3 linked regions of the Caenorhabditis elegans genome follow. The protein of the gene in region 2 interacts with the protein of the main gene of each other region in a pairwise test. Each region holds a gene or a part of one and is shown on either strand. Other genes may lie near its edges.

Region 1 (4,606 bases), on a different chromosome or scaffold from region 2:
AATACGATAATTGCCGAATTTCTTCTTTTTTTTCAAAACGCCCTCTAACCTTCACATAAATTTTCTACAGTAATCTTTTGCACATGAATTTTCAAGAAGTGAAAATTTATATGAATTGTGGATTGCCAAATTAAAATTTGATACGATTACATTTTTATAAACTTTCACAATTGGTTTGTTTTAAAAAAATAAGTTTTTCTTGATTCTCTAACTCCTCTATTAGATCAATGATCTCTTAAAAGTGACCGCCCGTTTTCCACCCCAATTCCTCATTCCCACTCTTCTCCCGCACACGCATACATACCGCCCATCTCTATCTATCACATTCTCTCATTTTGACACACTGTTTCGTATGTTGTTTGTTCCAAAAAGTGTGTGACGGGTGGAAAACTGATGTGGAAATAGTGTCTTTTGCCCCTCTATCTTTTTGAAATGATAATAACTTTTTTCGAGAGTTTTTTGTTTTACTTTTTATTTTTTGAATTTTGATCGATTTGTATAAGTTGTATCTAATCTTGATCTAGATTTAACAACATTCATATTTCCCGCCAAATGAATTTTTAGGCCTAAAATTGTTTCCTTGGCAGCAGAATGTGTAGGCCAAAAAGTTATATAGAAAGATAGAGTTGACTCTAAAAAATTTTTAAAAATTAAAATTGTTGGAAATTATTATAATTCGTTAAACTTCAAACGGCTTCTAAAATTGTCACAATTGTGTGTGGGAAATTTAATGTGTTAGGGAAAACATTTTCCGCGCAAATTTGTCAAGATTAATTTTAGCATTTATTTGAATGATTTGCAGAATTTAAAGTTCGAGCTTCTCCGCTTTGCACTACTGGGCAATTCACTGAGCATAAAACCGCGCTTGCACGGTTGCTCTCCCCTTCCCGCCTCCACGCCTTTAAGAAGGTAGAAAAAAAATATAATCAAAAAAAAATATACAGCAACGGTTCAATATAATTGTAACACCGAACAGCGAGGCGGGCGATAGGAAGGCGAGGAAAAAGGCGCCATGTCGCCTCACCCTGATGGATTGCCAAATGGTAGTCAATGATGTTTGCATAATTTTCTTGATTCGTGGTATTTACCGAACTTGTACATCATACTTCACGCGAATTTTTGAAAATTGGTATCAAGATGGACCCTTCGTAGTTTGTCCCACATTCGTGTAAAACTTTTCTAGAACAAGACAATTTAAATTTCGTCCAAAAACCGAAACTCTGAAACAAATCTACCCAAAAATACGAAGTAAAACCAGTAGGAAATCATCAAAGTTCTGCACTGTTTGCACACAGTTTTCAATTTTTCCTCAATTTCCCTCTGCGTCTCTGACCATCTCTTAACTCTTCTTCTTTTCCCACTGTCACTTGACTTTTGTGATGTGACACACATATTTCCTATACGCTTCCCTCTTTCACCCACAAAAAGTTTGAATTCTGTAAATGATTTTTAGATCTCTTCCGGAACACTTTCAAACCGTCGATTTCAAATAACTGTTTCATACTAAAAGTTGAGGGAAATCTTGATTTAATTTCAGAAGCCTGCTCTACACCTGCTCTTCAGAGGAGATTCCACAGAAAGCCTCATCCAGAAGACAATGATTCCGTATCTAGAAATTTGCAGGTCAGTTGTTTTATTCAAAAATTAAACAATTTTAAACAAAAGGTTCTGACTATTTTCTAGTCTGCGTTTTATTCTAAAGTGTAATGTTTCCTACTTTTCCTAAGTCTCTCATTGTTGAACCTTCTTAATGATTTACTAGCTTCAAAAGAACGAAGCTCAAGGAACTGTTATACACAGTTTCAGAATTAAAAATAATCTAAAAATCGACACGAATTAAATGAGATCCTTCACAAGGAGAATAAACTGTGGGACGTCCGTCACATGTTCTGTTAAAAGTGAATTTTACTGAATTGGATAGATATCGAATCTATAAAAATCAATGTGTTAAACTTTTGCAAGTTTCAGTTTAAAATCAAAAATAAAAAGCTTCTCAAATAACGCTCTGTGGCAATAATAATTTTGAATATTCAAACAATTTCAAGGATAATAGGAACTTATTAAATATAGTTTCCCAGTCTCCTAGTCAAAATACGATTCACCCAATTTCCCTGACCACTTTCATAAAATTAGCCGAAATTGTTGTAGTGTAGGCAGTGATTTTTTCTGCTGCCTCAAAACGTTCAAGGAGTACTGTAGGTTTTTCATTTTCCGTACCGCCTGCTCTGTCAAAAATCCACATTAAGTGTTGATAAAATCGTTTTTATCAACGCGTTTTTTGCTGATTCCAACAAAATATTATGATAGCAAGAATGCTTACTTTTTTTTTCATTTTTCAGTTTAGTTCCTTTTCTTCGGCGAAAATGTAAATTTTGGTAGCTTCTCAAACAATGTTTCTGATAATTTGTACGTAGGGTTCCTACTCGGCAAAACGGCCTAACTTCATAGCATACTCTTGCAACTTCTTAAGAACAATTAGGCATTTTAGCTTTTAAGCAAACTTCTGCAGCTTTTCAGATGACTTTTGCAATTTCTTAGCAGATGTAAAGCTAAATTTCGCTCACAATCCCGTTGGTTTTCGCAACTTCTTGACAGCTTTTTACAAAGTTATATGAATGTTTTTATTAAGTTGCAGGAGTTTGCTATGAAGTTGCGACGTTTTGCCGAGTATAGAGATCATTAGAAGAAATGTGTATTGTATCCATTAATATATATATTTTTAGTTAATCCTCTCTAGTTTCACGAGAAAATCTGCTCAAAAAAAGGTCAAAAAACGGCGGTGATGCAGCCACATGACTTCTCTTCAGTTTTCTCTAGTTTCTCTTTTCGCATGGCTCAACAGAAGCCCATTGGGTCATTTTTTGCGCCTCTCTTTCTCTCCTCCAATCGCCACGCGTCTTTTGTGTCGTTTTCATGTGACTCTGGACGGAGGAGAGCACCGATCCATTTTTTTGATTGGAATAGGGGTGAAGATCTTGTGGTTGGGAGAATCTAGTTTGGTCGCAATGTTTTTTTTTTCAAAAAACTTTTGTGAAGCGTTCTAGAAAGCTTACTTCTGATGTGATGTTTCTATATTTAAAATCATAAAACATAGGTAGCCTGTAATATTTTCATAAATTTATTTTTGATGCAAAATGTCTTTTAACAATTTGAACTTTAAAAAACCCGTTTAAGCGATATATGAAAGCTCTCGCGCCTCCGTGGAACGCCTTGTTTCTAATTACAATTTAAAGCCTCTTTTAAAATAATTGAAAATCACAGCTTCTCCATTTTCCTCCTCAGTTCAATCCAGTTCGCTTCACCACTCCAAAAGTCCAAACTAAATTTGAAAATAGCTTTTGAAACCCAGAGACTCTAGAGAATCCGTCATTTTTTGTCCCATTTTTTTCGCACTTTCTGCCTAGAAGGTGGGTTTCGACCATTCATCATATTGCATAAAACAACTCTCTCTCTCTCTCTTGTTTGTTTGCCATTCCGATGCAAACCGCCCGTTCCTCTCGATGTGACGAACTGAATGAGAGAACGGCATAGTTAGTGTATGTGGCAAACGAAAACGACAATTCTTTTCCCCTTTCTCCAGCATTTTTTTCGCCCAATTCTCCCTCTTCCCTTTTGCCCCGATTGGTCTGATTTTTGATCGGCTCTCTGTTCGTGGTTCTGCGAGTGCATCTAGATGTAAGTTAGATGTAGATGAAAGTGTTTGGTTTTGCACTGTGTAATTTTTATAAATTTTGATTCACGGATGTAATCATCCCTGGTTATACATCATCAATTTACATGATTTTTTTAAAATTTGCACAATTTAGTTTCATCTGTAGAGTATTTTCCACACTGTAACCTATATTTTGCAGTTCTCAATTTTTGGTATATCTGAGAAGATACAAATGCCTAAAGTAAAAAACCTTCCATTTCAAAAATAGCAATATAAACTTTTACTGAATGCGCTAGAGGCTTTTCGGGGGTGCCTCTCACCCTTGTTTTCACGTTTCGCCTTGAAATAGTCAAATTTATCAAAAATTTGAATTTTTAAATTTCAAAGCGGAAAAGTTGTGTTACAATTAGAGAATGTAAAATACGATACTTTTTTTTTGCATAACTATAGCTTTTCAAAATCAAGACACTAAGGCATTTTTATAATCGTAAAACTATGAGTATTATTGTATTTCGAATATTTGCATATGCACAATATTGCGCAAAACTTTAAACAAGTTCCCCCAACATTTATTTTATGTTTTCTGAAACCAAGGCAACGAACTGAAAATCAGAGAACCGGTCTATCTGTTCGTTTTTTAAAATTCGAGTTTCTTCTCCTTAAAACCAATCAATTTTCTCATCTTCTTTTCGTAACGATGGCAGGCAACACAGCGGACAAAAAAACGAACGGAAATGTTGAGAATCGGCACGTTTTCGTTTTCGCCTCTCTAGAGAAATAGCGCTGGATTAGACTAGAGAAATCGGACATGAACCGAAAAAATTCATGGGATGGGCGCCAGAAATATATATATCGATGAATTCTGTCCCCTTTTCCTTTTCGATATGAAAGTTAACGATGGCAGCTGTACCAAAAAAAAGAGGGGAAAAACTGACTTTTCGACGATAAAAAGAG
Region 2 (5,175 bases):
GAAAACTACAGTAGTTCTTTAAATGACTACTGTAGGTCGATTTACGGGCTTCGCTTTTTGAAATGAGTTTCAGTTCGAATTGTGGCCTTTTCTAATTTTCGTCCAATTTTTCTTCTTTTTTTTTATATTTTCAACAATTAATTACAAAAAAACGATTCAAAATCGCTTTTCCACTGCTTTTCTTGTTGATTTTTCAATAAAGTTTCAATTTCACTGGTCTTTTTCTCTTTTTTCGAATTGGATAGCATTTTCATTCGAAAAAAAGAAAAACACAAGAAAAACTCAAACTTTATTGAAAAATTAACAAGAAAAACAGTGTAAAGCGATTTTGACTCTTTTTTTGTAATTTATTGATGAAAATTTAAAAAAAAAGAAGAAAAATTGGACGAAAATTAAAACCGCTGCCACAATTCGAACAGAAACTCATTTCAAAAAGCGAAGCCCGTAAATCGACCTACAGTAGTCAATTAAAGAATTACTGTAGTTTTCGCAACGAGATATTTTGCGCGTCAAATATGTTGTGCAATACGCATTTTCTCAGAATTTTGTGATATAGTAATAAAAATTAAAAATTTCTAGTATTTAAAATTGGAAACAAAAATTTCAGCTAACTGTGGATACCACGAGCATCTGGGTAGAAGTATCTTCGAAACAATCACTGGAAGCATGTAAAAAGACAATGGATGAACTGATTCTCTCAAGTCGTCAGATATTCCCAACTCTTTCAATTGATCAAGTCAGAGTTGTCGACAGTGATACACTTGTTTCAATTTATCCCGACAAAAATGACCTTCCAGGAGTCTCCCGGATATCTAATTAAAAATTTGACAAAAAAATAGTCTTAAATTCAGAAAATCCCCGAAAGAAAAATGAAAAATCAGAGTTTTTGACAAAAATGAGCGCTGCGACCAATCAGCGATTTGCTCCGCCCACTTTTTGACCAATCAGGATTTTCGGCGCAATTCTACTGGTTGTTCCAACATTTTTCATTGAAAATTAGTGTCAAAATATGGAAATTTACTATCAAAATGTATAAATCGATCTTTGAATTTTGCAAAAATTTTTGTCGCACAGAAATTGAGGCGGAGCTTGCTTTCGCAACACTGCCGCACGGGCAACAATTTTTGCAAAATTCAAAGATCGATTTATACATTTTGATAGTAAATTTCCATATCTTGACACTAATTTTCAATGAAAAATGTTGGAACAACCAGTAGAATTGCGCCGAAAATCCTGATTGGTTGAAAAGTGGGCGGAGCGAATCGCTGATTGGTCACAGTGCTCAATTTTGCCGAAAAGTCGGTTTTTTTTGGAATTTTTGAGTTTTTTTTTTTTGGATTTTTTTCCTTCCTTTTCACCTAATTATTTTGTTTTTGTTGTTACCATGTTTCTTGTTGTTTCTCCCCGATTTCCCCCGCTGACACTAGAATAAAAGTATCGTTTTTGTCGTGGGAAATGACTATTTCCTGTCTCTCGCTCTCTTTTTTGTCTCCAATTGGTTTTTTTTTGAATATAAAACCATGGAATATTTGTGGCGAGAAATTGTGCAATCTGTCGAGAGAAGTAATGCAATTTTCAGAAAGAAACGGATTTTAGAAATGACTGAAACTAGGTGAGTTGGAAAAAAATTAATTTTTTAAATTTAAAAGTGGAAAATTTTAGATTTTTCTTCAAAACAATTGTTTTTTTTTTGAAAAGTTCCAGAATTTTCTGGAAAACAAATTCTGAAATTTTTTAAAGAATTTCAGGTAAAAATCGAAATTTTTCGATTTTTTTAGAGTGTCTAGTTTTAAAATTGAAATTTCAAATTTTTTTAGAGTGTCTAGTTTTAAAATTGAAATTTCAAATTTTTTTATCTCAAAAAAAAAAATTGGATTTTTTTTAAATTGCAACAGAAATTTCCAGAATTTTCCAGTAAAAAACTTTAGAAAATCTGGAATTCCAAGAAAAGGAACACAGTTTTTTTATTAAAAATTTTTTTTGAAATTCTGGAATTTTTGGAACTTTTAACAAAAAATTAGAAAATCGAATTATTTTTTTTTCATTTTTTTTTAAATTAAAACCAAAAAAGAAAAAAAAAGCTTTTTTTTTCTCGTTAGAAAAGTTTCAAAAAACGTAATTTCTGAAAATTTGTACAATTTTTTTGGAAAATTCGGATTTTTTTGATGTAAAAAAAAATTTCCAGAATTTGTTGAAAAAAAAAGAAAAAAGAGATGTTTTTAGGCATTTCAGAATAAAAAAATCCAAAATTTTCCACTTTCTTGTCAGCAAATCGAAAAAAAATCCAAATTTTTTTTTAGAAAATCGAATTTTGAAATTAAAATTAGAATTTTTTAAAATTAAAAATAATAAAAAATCCAAATTTTCGATTTTTTTTAGAAAATCGAATTTTAAAATTAAAATTTCAATTTTTTAAAAATTAAATCGTTAAAAATCGAAAGAAAAAAAATTAAAAATCGAAAAAAATTGCAATTTTTTCAGCACAGTATCCATCGCCAGTAGTGCAATCGTCTGCGTCGAAGCGGATATAAAAGGAGAAGTTATAATTAAAGAAGGCTGCGTCGTCCATCCATTTGTAGTGTTCGACGCCACAAAAGGCCCAATTTATGTTGGAGAAAATAATATTTTTGAAGAATACGCAGTTATTCGGAATAAGTATGTTCAAAACATATGATACAGGAATCGCCAAATTGCCGGTTTACCGATTTGCCGGAAAAAAACGGCAGTTTGCCGGAATTTTAAATTTAATTTTTCTGGCAATCCGCCAGTTTGCCGGGATTGAACACTTCCTGCAAATTCGATAAATCGGCAATCTGCTGGAATGGAAAATTTCCGGCAAATCAGCAAGTTGCCGGAATTTAAAATTTAATTTTTCCGGCAAACCTACTTGTTGCCGGAATTTAAAATTTCCGGCATGCGGAAAATCGGCAATATGCCGAAAATAACAATTTCCGGCAAACTGGCAATTTGGCGGAATTCAAAATGTAATTTTTCCGGCAAATCGGCAGTTTGCCGGAATTATAAATTTAATTTTTTCCGGCAAACCACCAATTTGCCGGGATTGAAAATTTCCGGCAAAGCTGATATCCGGCATGCGGAAAATCGGCATATTGCCGGAATTGAAATTTCCGGAAAACCGGCAATTTGGCAGAATTTAAAATTTAATTTTTCCGGCAAACCGGCAATTTGCCGAAAATAAAAATTTCCGGCAAATCGGCAAATTGCCGGAATTGAAAATTTACGGCGAACCGACATATTGCCGGAATCGAAATTTGAAATTTCCGGCAAATCGGTAAACCGGCAAGGTTTTTTCCGGCAAATTCGGCAAGAATCTCCATTTCAACAGAAAAATTTTTAGGCAATGTTTGAGAAAAAAAACGATTTTTTTCCAGCAGCGACGGTCAACCAATGATAATCGGTGACTGGAACATCTTTCAAGTCCACTCGAAATCCAGTGCAAAATACGTTGGAAGCCGGAATGTGATTGGTGTGCATGCGGTGCTCGAAGACGGTTGCTCCGTTTCAGATGACTGTAGCGTTGGAGCCAAGTGTACAGTGTTTTCCCATCAAAATCTGGAACCTTCTGTGTCTGTTTATGCAGCCACGAATTTGAGTAGAACGACGAAAACGCCGAATATGGTACGGGAAATGCTGCTTTTTTTTCGCAAAAAGCGGCGCCGCACAGAAATAGAGGCGGAGCTTAATTTTGCAACCATGCGGCACAGTTTTTCTTTCTTTTTTTCACCCATTTCCCACAGTTTTCATGTTTAATTGTTTTTTATATGAAAAAAATTGAATAAAACAGGTAAAATTGGAAATTTTTTGAAATGAAGTGAAAAACAGTGCTGCATGGTTGCGAATTTTCGCTCCGCCTCTTTTTCTGTGCGGCGCCGCTGCTTTTTGTGCAAAATTCACGGATCAAGTGTCAGGGGTGGGCGGTAAATGATTTTTCAGGAAAATCGGCAAACCGGTAATTTGCCGGAAGTGAAATTGTCTGGCAAGTCGGCAAACCGGCAAATAGCCGGAATTCGCCGGAAATAAATTTTTCCGACAAACCGACAAATCGCCGGAAATTAAGTTTTCCGGAAAACCAACAAATTGGTGGAAATGAAATTTTCCGGCAAACCGCTAATTTGCCGAATTTGAAAATTTCCGGCAAATCGGCAAATCGCCGGAAATTAAATTTTCCGGCAAATAGCCGGAATTTTCCGGAAATAAATTTTTCCGACAAATCGGCAATTCGCCGGAAATTAAGTTTTTCGGCAAACCGGCAAATTGCCGGAAATTAAATTTTCCGGCAAACCGGCAAATTGGCGGAAATGAAATTTTCCAGCAAATCAGAAAACCGGCAATTTGTTACCTATTCTAAATGAAAGTAAACCTAAAAATATGGAATTTTCAGACATCGCCCCACCAAATTGAATTCCTGCGTAAAATCCTACCATCATATCATCATTTGTACGGGAAGAAGAAGGCCGTCGCTACTGCTTCTGCTTCTGCTGCACAATAACCTGCTTTTGGTTCAACCTATCTCGCATTTTAACTGCAATTATTTATGTCGGATATTTTTTTGTCCCCTATTTCTCACAAAATATAAATAAAATTCATGATTATTTTGTTCTAGGAGCACGTTCAGCTGAAATCATAAAACAATTAGCAACAAAAAAATAAGCAGCAAATAATGGAGGTAACTCTGCGAAACATCGTGTCGGAAGTTCCGACTCGGAACGTCCTAACTCCGATCTAGGACGTAGAAATTTTCCCTTTTTTTTTATTTAAAAAATTAAGCCATATAACAATAAAAATCAGAGAAATCGTTTTGGATTGGAGAAAAGATGAGAAAGAAAACAACTATTTTTCGAGGAACATCTCAAAGTTTATCCAATTATTAAAATTTTGGTTATGCCAACAGAAACATTTTCATGTAAGGATTGTGTCGTCTTCATAAAATTTGTCGGCTTTCTTCTCAGAAATTGATTGAACATTTTCAAAATGCCAGCAATTGGGTCCTTTACTTTTTTATCTTTTACTCAGGTGAACGGCCAGAGTCACTAAATTTGGTGAACGGTCAGAGTCACTAAATTTGGTGAACGGCCAGAGTCACTATTTTTGGGGAACGGCCAGAGTCACTATTTTTGGGGAACGGCCAGAGTCACTATTTTTGGTGAACGGCCA
Region 3 (3,814 bases), on a different chromosome or scaffold from region 2:
TTGTTTGACTTCTCTCGTTTATACGGAACTGAAATATTTTTTATGAAAAGTGTGATCACATGTCCGACGACACCCACTAAAAATTTGACAACTTCGTACTTTCTTCTCCTTTGAAATCATCAATTTCTCCTGGTCATAGGGAAAAGAGATAGAGAGAGAGAGAAAGATAGAAAAGAGAAAATAGATCAGTATCTGTCTATTTCTCTAATTTTCTCACTTATTCTTCATCGGAAGAAGAAGAAGATGAAAAAGACAACGTCATCCACAACCTGTCGTCCCCCACACACCCCTACGACCACAAAAACTGTCCCCGTTTTTTCGACACCTCCCTGATGTTTTTCCCGCAAATCCTATTAAAGCTCACGCGCCTAGACTTCTTCAGATAGCACTCATAAAAGCTATTATTCGCTATTTGTCAAGTAAAATTGCCACATTGGCTCCTGTCACGAATGAAAATTTTCCGCTACCGTACCCTTTATTTTTTGTTGTAATTTTCAATTCTTTTGATATTCTTGATGTAAAAATTATATTTTTTATCGAAATCCCGTCAAATATGCTTGGAAAAAACGAAATTTCAAGAAAATCATCATCTACCGTACTCATGGGTACTGTAGCTGAAAAGTTTCACTCGCGTCGAGACCCGGAAGCATCATTTTGCTTTGAAATTTGCGCGTTTTTCCGATTTTCGATTCAATTATTAGATGAATTGAAAACTATCAGCGAAATCGTTTTATCATTTGACAAAACCTGAAAATTTTCTAAAAATGTTTTTTGTCAGACTGAAGAAAAATTATTTTTAGATTAAAGGATTAAAGGATTAAAGGACGATCGGTTCTTCAAGTGCTATGCACTGCGGATCTGGGATTCAGGTACACTGCCTGGTGGTGATCCTCTGGGCTGTAATTTTAAGCCACGTCCTAGCCGGGGACTGTGGCCGATAATCCAGTCGTGGATTGCTCCACTTCCCAATAGACATTCTCTTATTTTAAAAATAGAAATGTTGCAATTAATCGGAATTTTGCAGTTGAGGGGTATCGCCCCAAAAAAATTTTAAAAAAATATGTTTCAAAAAAGTACTTCTTGAGGACTGAGGCGACTCAACTCTTCCCCCACCTTCCACCAATTTTGCTCATATAACAGTCCACAATTGTGTGCCCCTCAATATATTTCCCCTTCGGTATAATTGGCCCATTTGCCCTCCACAATCTATTCACACTGTCCATCCCGACCGTCCGTCTCTGTTTCTCTCTTCTCCGTCGTCCCCCACACTTTTCCTACCCCCGCTTGTCGTTTGCACGGCCTTCAAACCCAAAAAACCGATGAAAACCGTATCTGAAATAGTTCTACTCTCCGTTTCCTCGTTTTCTTTGTTCTAGAATGGTTTCAAGTTCGAAATTCTCAAAAAATTATGAGGTTCGAATATTACCCAGACGCAAAATTTTGAGATTTTTGCCCTGAAAATACGGTACCTGGCCGCGAAAAGGCAATTTCTGAGATTTACAAACGGGGGTGCGCCTTTAAAGGATACTGTAATTTAAAGCTTTCGTTGCTCTCTGATCAGATTTTAATTGATTTTTCATAGTTGATCTCACAATTTATTAAATCGAATAATTTTGAATTTTATTATCTTAATTATTAATAAAGTAATATTATTTAATAAGTAAATTTATTTTCAACCAAAAACTATGAAAAATCAATGAATACTGAAATTACAGTACTCTTTAAAGGCGCACACCCATTTGTTTTCAACAAAAATGTCATGTCGAGGGCCATTTTTGCAGCTGATTTTTGCTATTAACCCTGAACAACTAAAATTGAGAAAATTGTCCAAATTTCATTCATTTTAGCCATTTTTGTAAGTCGAATTGATAATTTCTGAAAAACTCCCGCCATTAATTTCAAATTACGATCTGCAAACACCATCACGTAAAAATGCACAGTTTTGCCTCACGTTAAAATTTGCAAATTTAATTTTAAAAAATTTATTTTCTCATCTTTTCTCCTCATATTCTCTTCATTTCTAGTAATTTTCGTTCGAACAATTCGATTTCAGAATCAATAAAACATTAAAAATGACGGAAGGGGACGATCAATTAATATCGATTCGCAAACAACTTGAAAATTTAAATAATGCAACAGATGACATCAACAGTTATGAGATGAAGTTGGAAACTGTCAAGAAACAGTTTTGGTGAGTTTTAATTCATTTTTTATTTTAAAATAATTGCTTAATCGCTACACGTCTAAAACTGGAAACCTTTTATTGCACTAGTCATTCTTAACCAATTAATTCGCAAAAAATCGTACCAAATCTGGTTTTGATGCTAAAATAATCTTATATATTTTCAGTGAAACCCAACTAATGTTCAACAAAGAAATGCTTGGAATCCCTAAAAAGTTGGCCAAACACATATCAAAATCCCGTCAATTTTTCGATTTGAAAAGCCGCGAATCGGAAATCAGAAGATGTGTTCAACAAGCGGCAGCTCAATTTGAACGACAAAAAACTTCAGTTGAAATGGCAAGAGAACAAGTGCAAATACTGCATAATTCATTGAATAACAATCAAGAATTGGATGCAGAGAAACAATATGTTGATGTGATTGAGCAACAGTTGGAATTGGTTAAAGAAGCTGAGGGAGAATGTTTAAAAGCTGAAAAGTGTCATGCATCACGTGTCAGGGATTTGTTACAGTTGGAAATGGCTTTAAGGAAATGTTTAGAGGAAAATGGGTGAGTTTCAGGCATCAGGCAATTTTCTGACAATATATTTTCCGAATTTCAGATCTGCCATCAAAAAATCCCGGCCCTATTACGAACGAAAAGAAGTTCTGACGCGAACAATGAATTCTCAACTTGAGTTAATGTCAATTTTGGAGCATGAAGTAAGAACTAATAAGAATAAAACTGTATATAGATTAAAATAATTTTTAATTTCCAGGTACAAGAACGAAAAGACAGCTACAGTGATTCGATGCGAGCTTTAGAGCAGATCAGCGATCAAATTCATCAGGAGCGTTCCTCGCAAAGCAGTTTGGCTCCTTCGAGTGATGCAGAATCCGACAGCTCTTGATACTCTGAGCCACACCCTTTCTTCTCAATTTTCCACGTGTAATATTAGATTTTTCACGAAGTTTCGAAATCTCGATCTCACTTGTACTCACGTTCCACACCCAATCAACTTCACCAAAAATGTATTTTTACGGGTTTCAATCCCCTTTCTCTTTGCTCCTCATTTTCTCTATGTATCTCTTTATTTTGTGTTCGTCTGGTGCTTAATAACAATTTTCTTGAAACATTAAAAATTGTGATAATGAGAAGACGATGAAGTGCCCACAAAAGCATCTACGTGTGCACACGCTGCACTTCTTGTCGGAGCACTGGATTTATCAAGCAATCGTGAAGCCAATGTGCATAGCTCACAAAGAGTGGATGCCCTTGTCGCTGGTGGCAATCTGAGGGTGAAATAGATTGTTGAAAAATTGTAATTTTTTGAAATTTTGAGACGTTAAAAAAAATCGAAATTTCGTTGACTTGCAACTTGCGCGTCATATATAGTGTCAAGTACGCATACACCGCGACGGTAGAATGCACAAAATTGTCAATTTCAAAATTTTCATGATTTTTCTTTTATTTAACAATTCAATTTCTCACCTGCTAACCGAAGCGGGTCTTCTTTCTTCTGGAATAATTGGAATTTCTTCATCAGAATCCCATTTAAAATACTGAAAATTGTTCACACGCCGGCCAAGCTTTGGAATGCTCTAAAAATATTTGTGTCATATTATTGTTTCACTTAATTGAAGAGATTACA

The links. Proteins that work in one complex are often made in the same cells at the same time.
Region 1: the proteins of dnc-6 (region 2) and ncl-1 interact in a two-hybrid assay, tested with the Caenorhabditis elegans proteins (one large-scale study listed by BioGRID).
Region 3: the proteins of dnc-6 (region 2) and rei-1 interact in a two-hybrid assay, tested with the Caenorhabditis elegans proteins (one large-scale study listed by BioGRID).

The regions. Positions count from the first base shown.
Region 1 is NC_003281.10:7,718,194-7,722,799, forward strand, and holds the start of ncl-1 (RING-type E3 ubiquitin transferase), read left to right. Parts: upstream 1-1,597; coding exon 1,598-1,623; intron 1,624-4,606. UniProt on the Caenorhabditis elegans protein: Translational repressor that inhibits protein synthesis.
Region 2 is NC_003279.8:3,166,614-3,171,788, forward strand, and holds dnc-6 (Dynactin subunit 6), read left to right. Parts: upstream 1-1,579; 5' UTR 1,580-1,598; coding exon 1,599-1,612; intron 1,613-2,481; coding exon 2,482-2,655; intron 2,656-3,392; coding exon 3,393-3,639; intron 3,640-4,402; coding exon 4,403-4,510; 3' UTR 4,511-4,617; downstream 4,618-5,175. Other genes in the region: Y54E10A.6 (B3/B4 tRNA-binding domain-containing protein), read left to right, coding at 608-820. UniProt on the Caenorhabditis elegans protein: Part of the dynactin complex that activates the molecular motor dynein for ultra-processive transport along microtubules.
Region 3 is NC_003281.10:4,096,387-4,100,200, reverse strand, and holds rei-1 (Guanine nucleotide exchange factor rei-1), read left to right. Parts: upstream 1-2,010; 5' UTR 2,011-2,072; coding exon 2,073-2,191; intron 2,192-2,349; coding exon 2,350-2,733; intron 2,734-2,785; coding exon 2,786-2,885; intron 2,886-2,941; coding exon 2,942-3,073; 3' UTR 3,074-3,298; downstream 3,299-3,814. Other genes in the region: C03C10.7 (uncharacterized protein), read right to left, coding at 3,299-3,455, 3,655-3,764, 3,814-3,814. UniProt on the Caenorhabditis elegans protein: Guanine nucleotide exchange factor for Rab GTPase Rab-11.1. Spatially and temporally regulates the distribution of Rab-11.1 to target membranes during embryogenesis. Plays a role in cytokinesis, probably by targeting rab-11.1 to the cleavage furrows.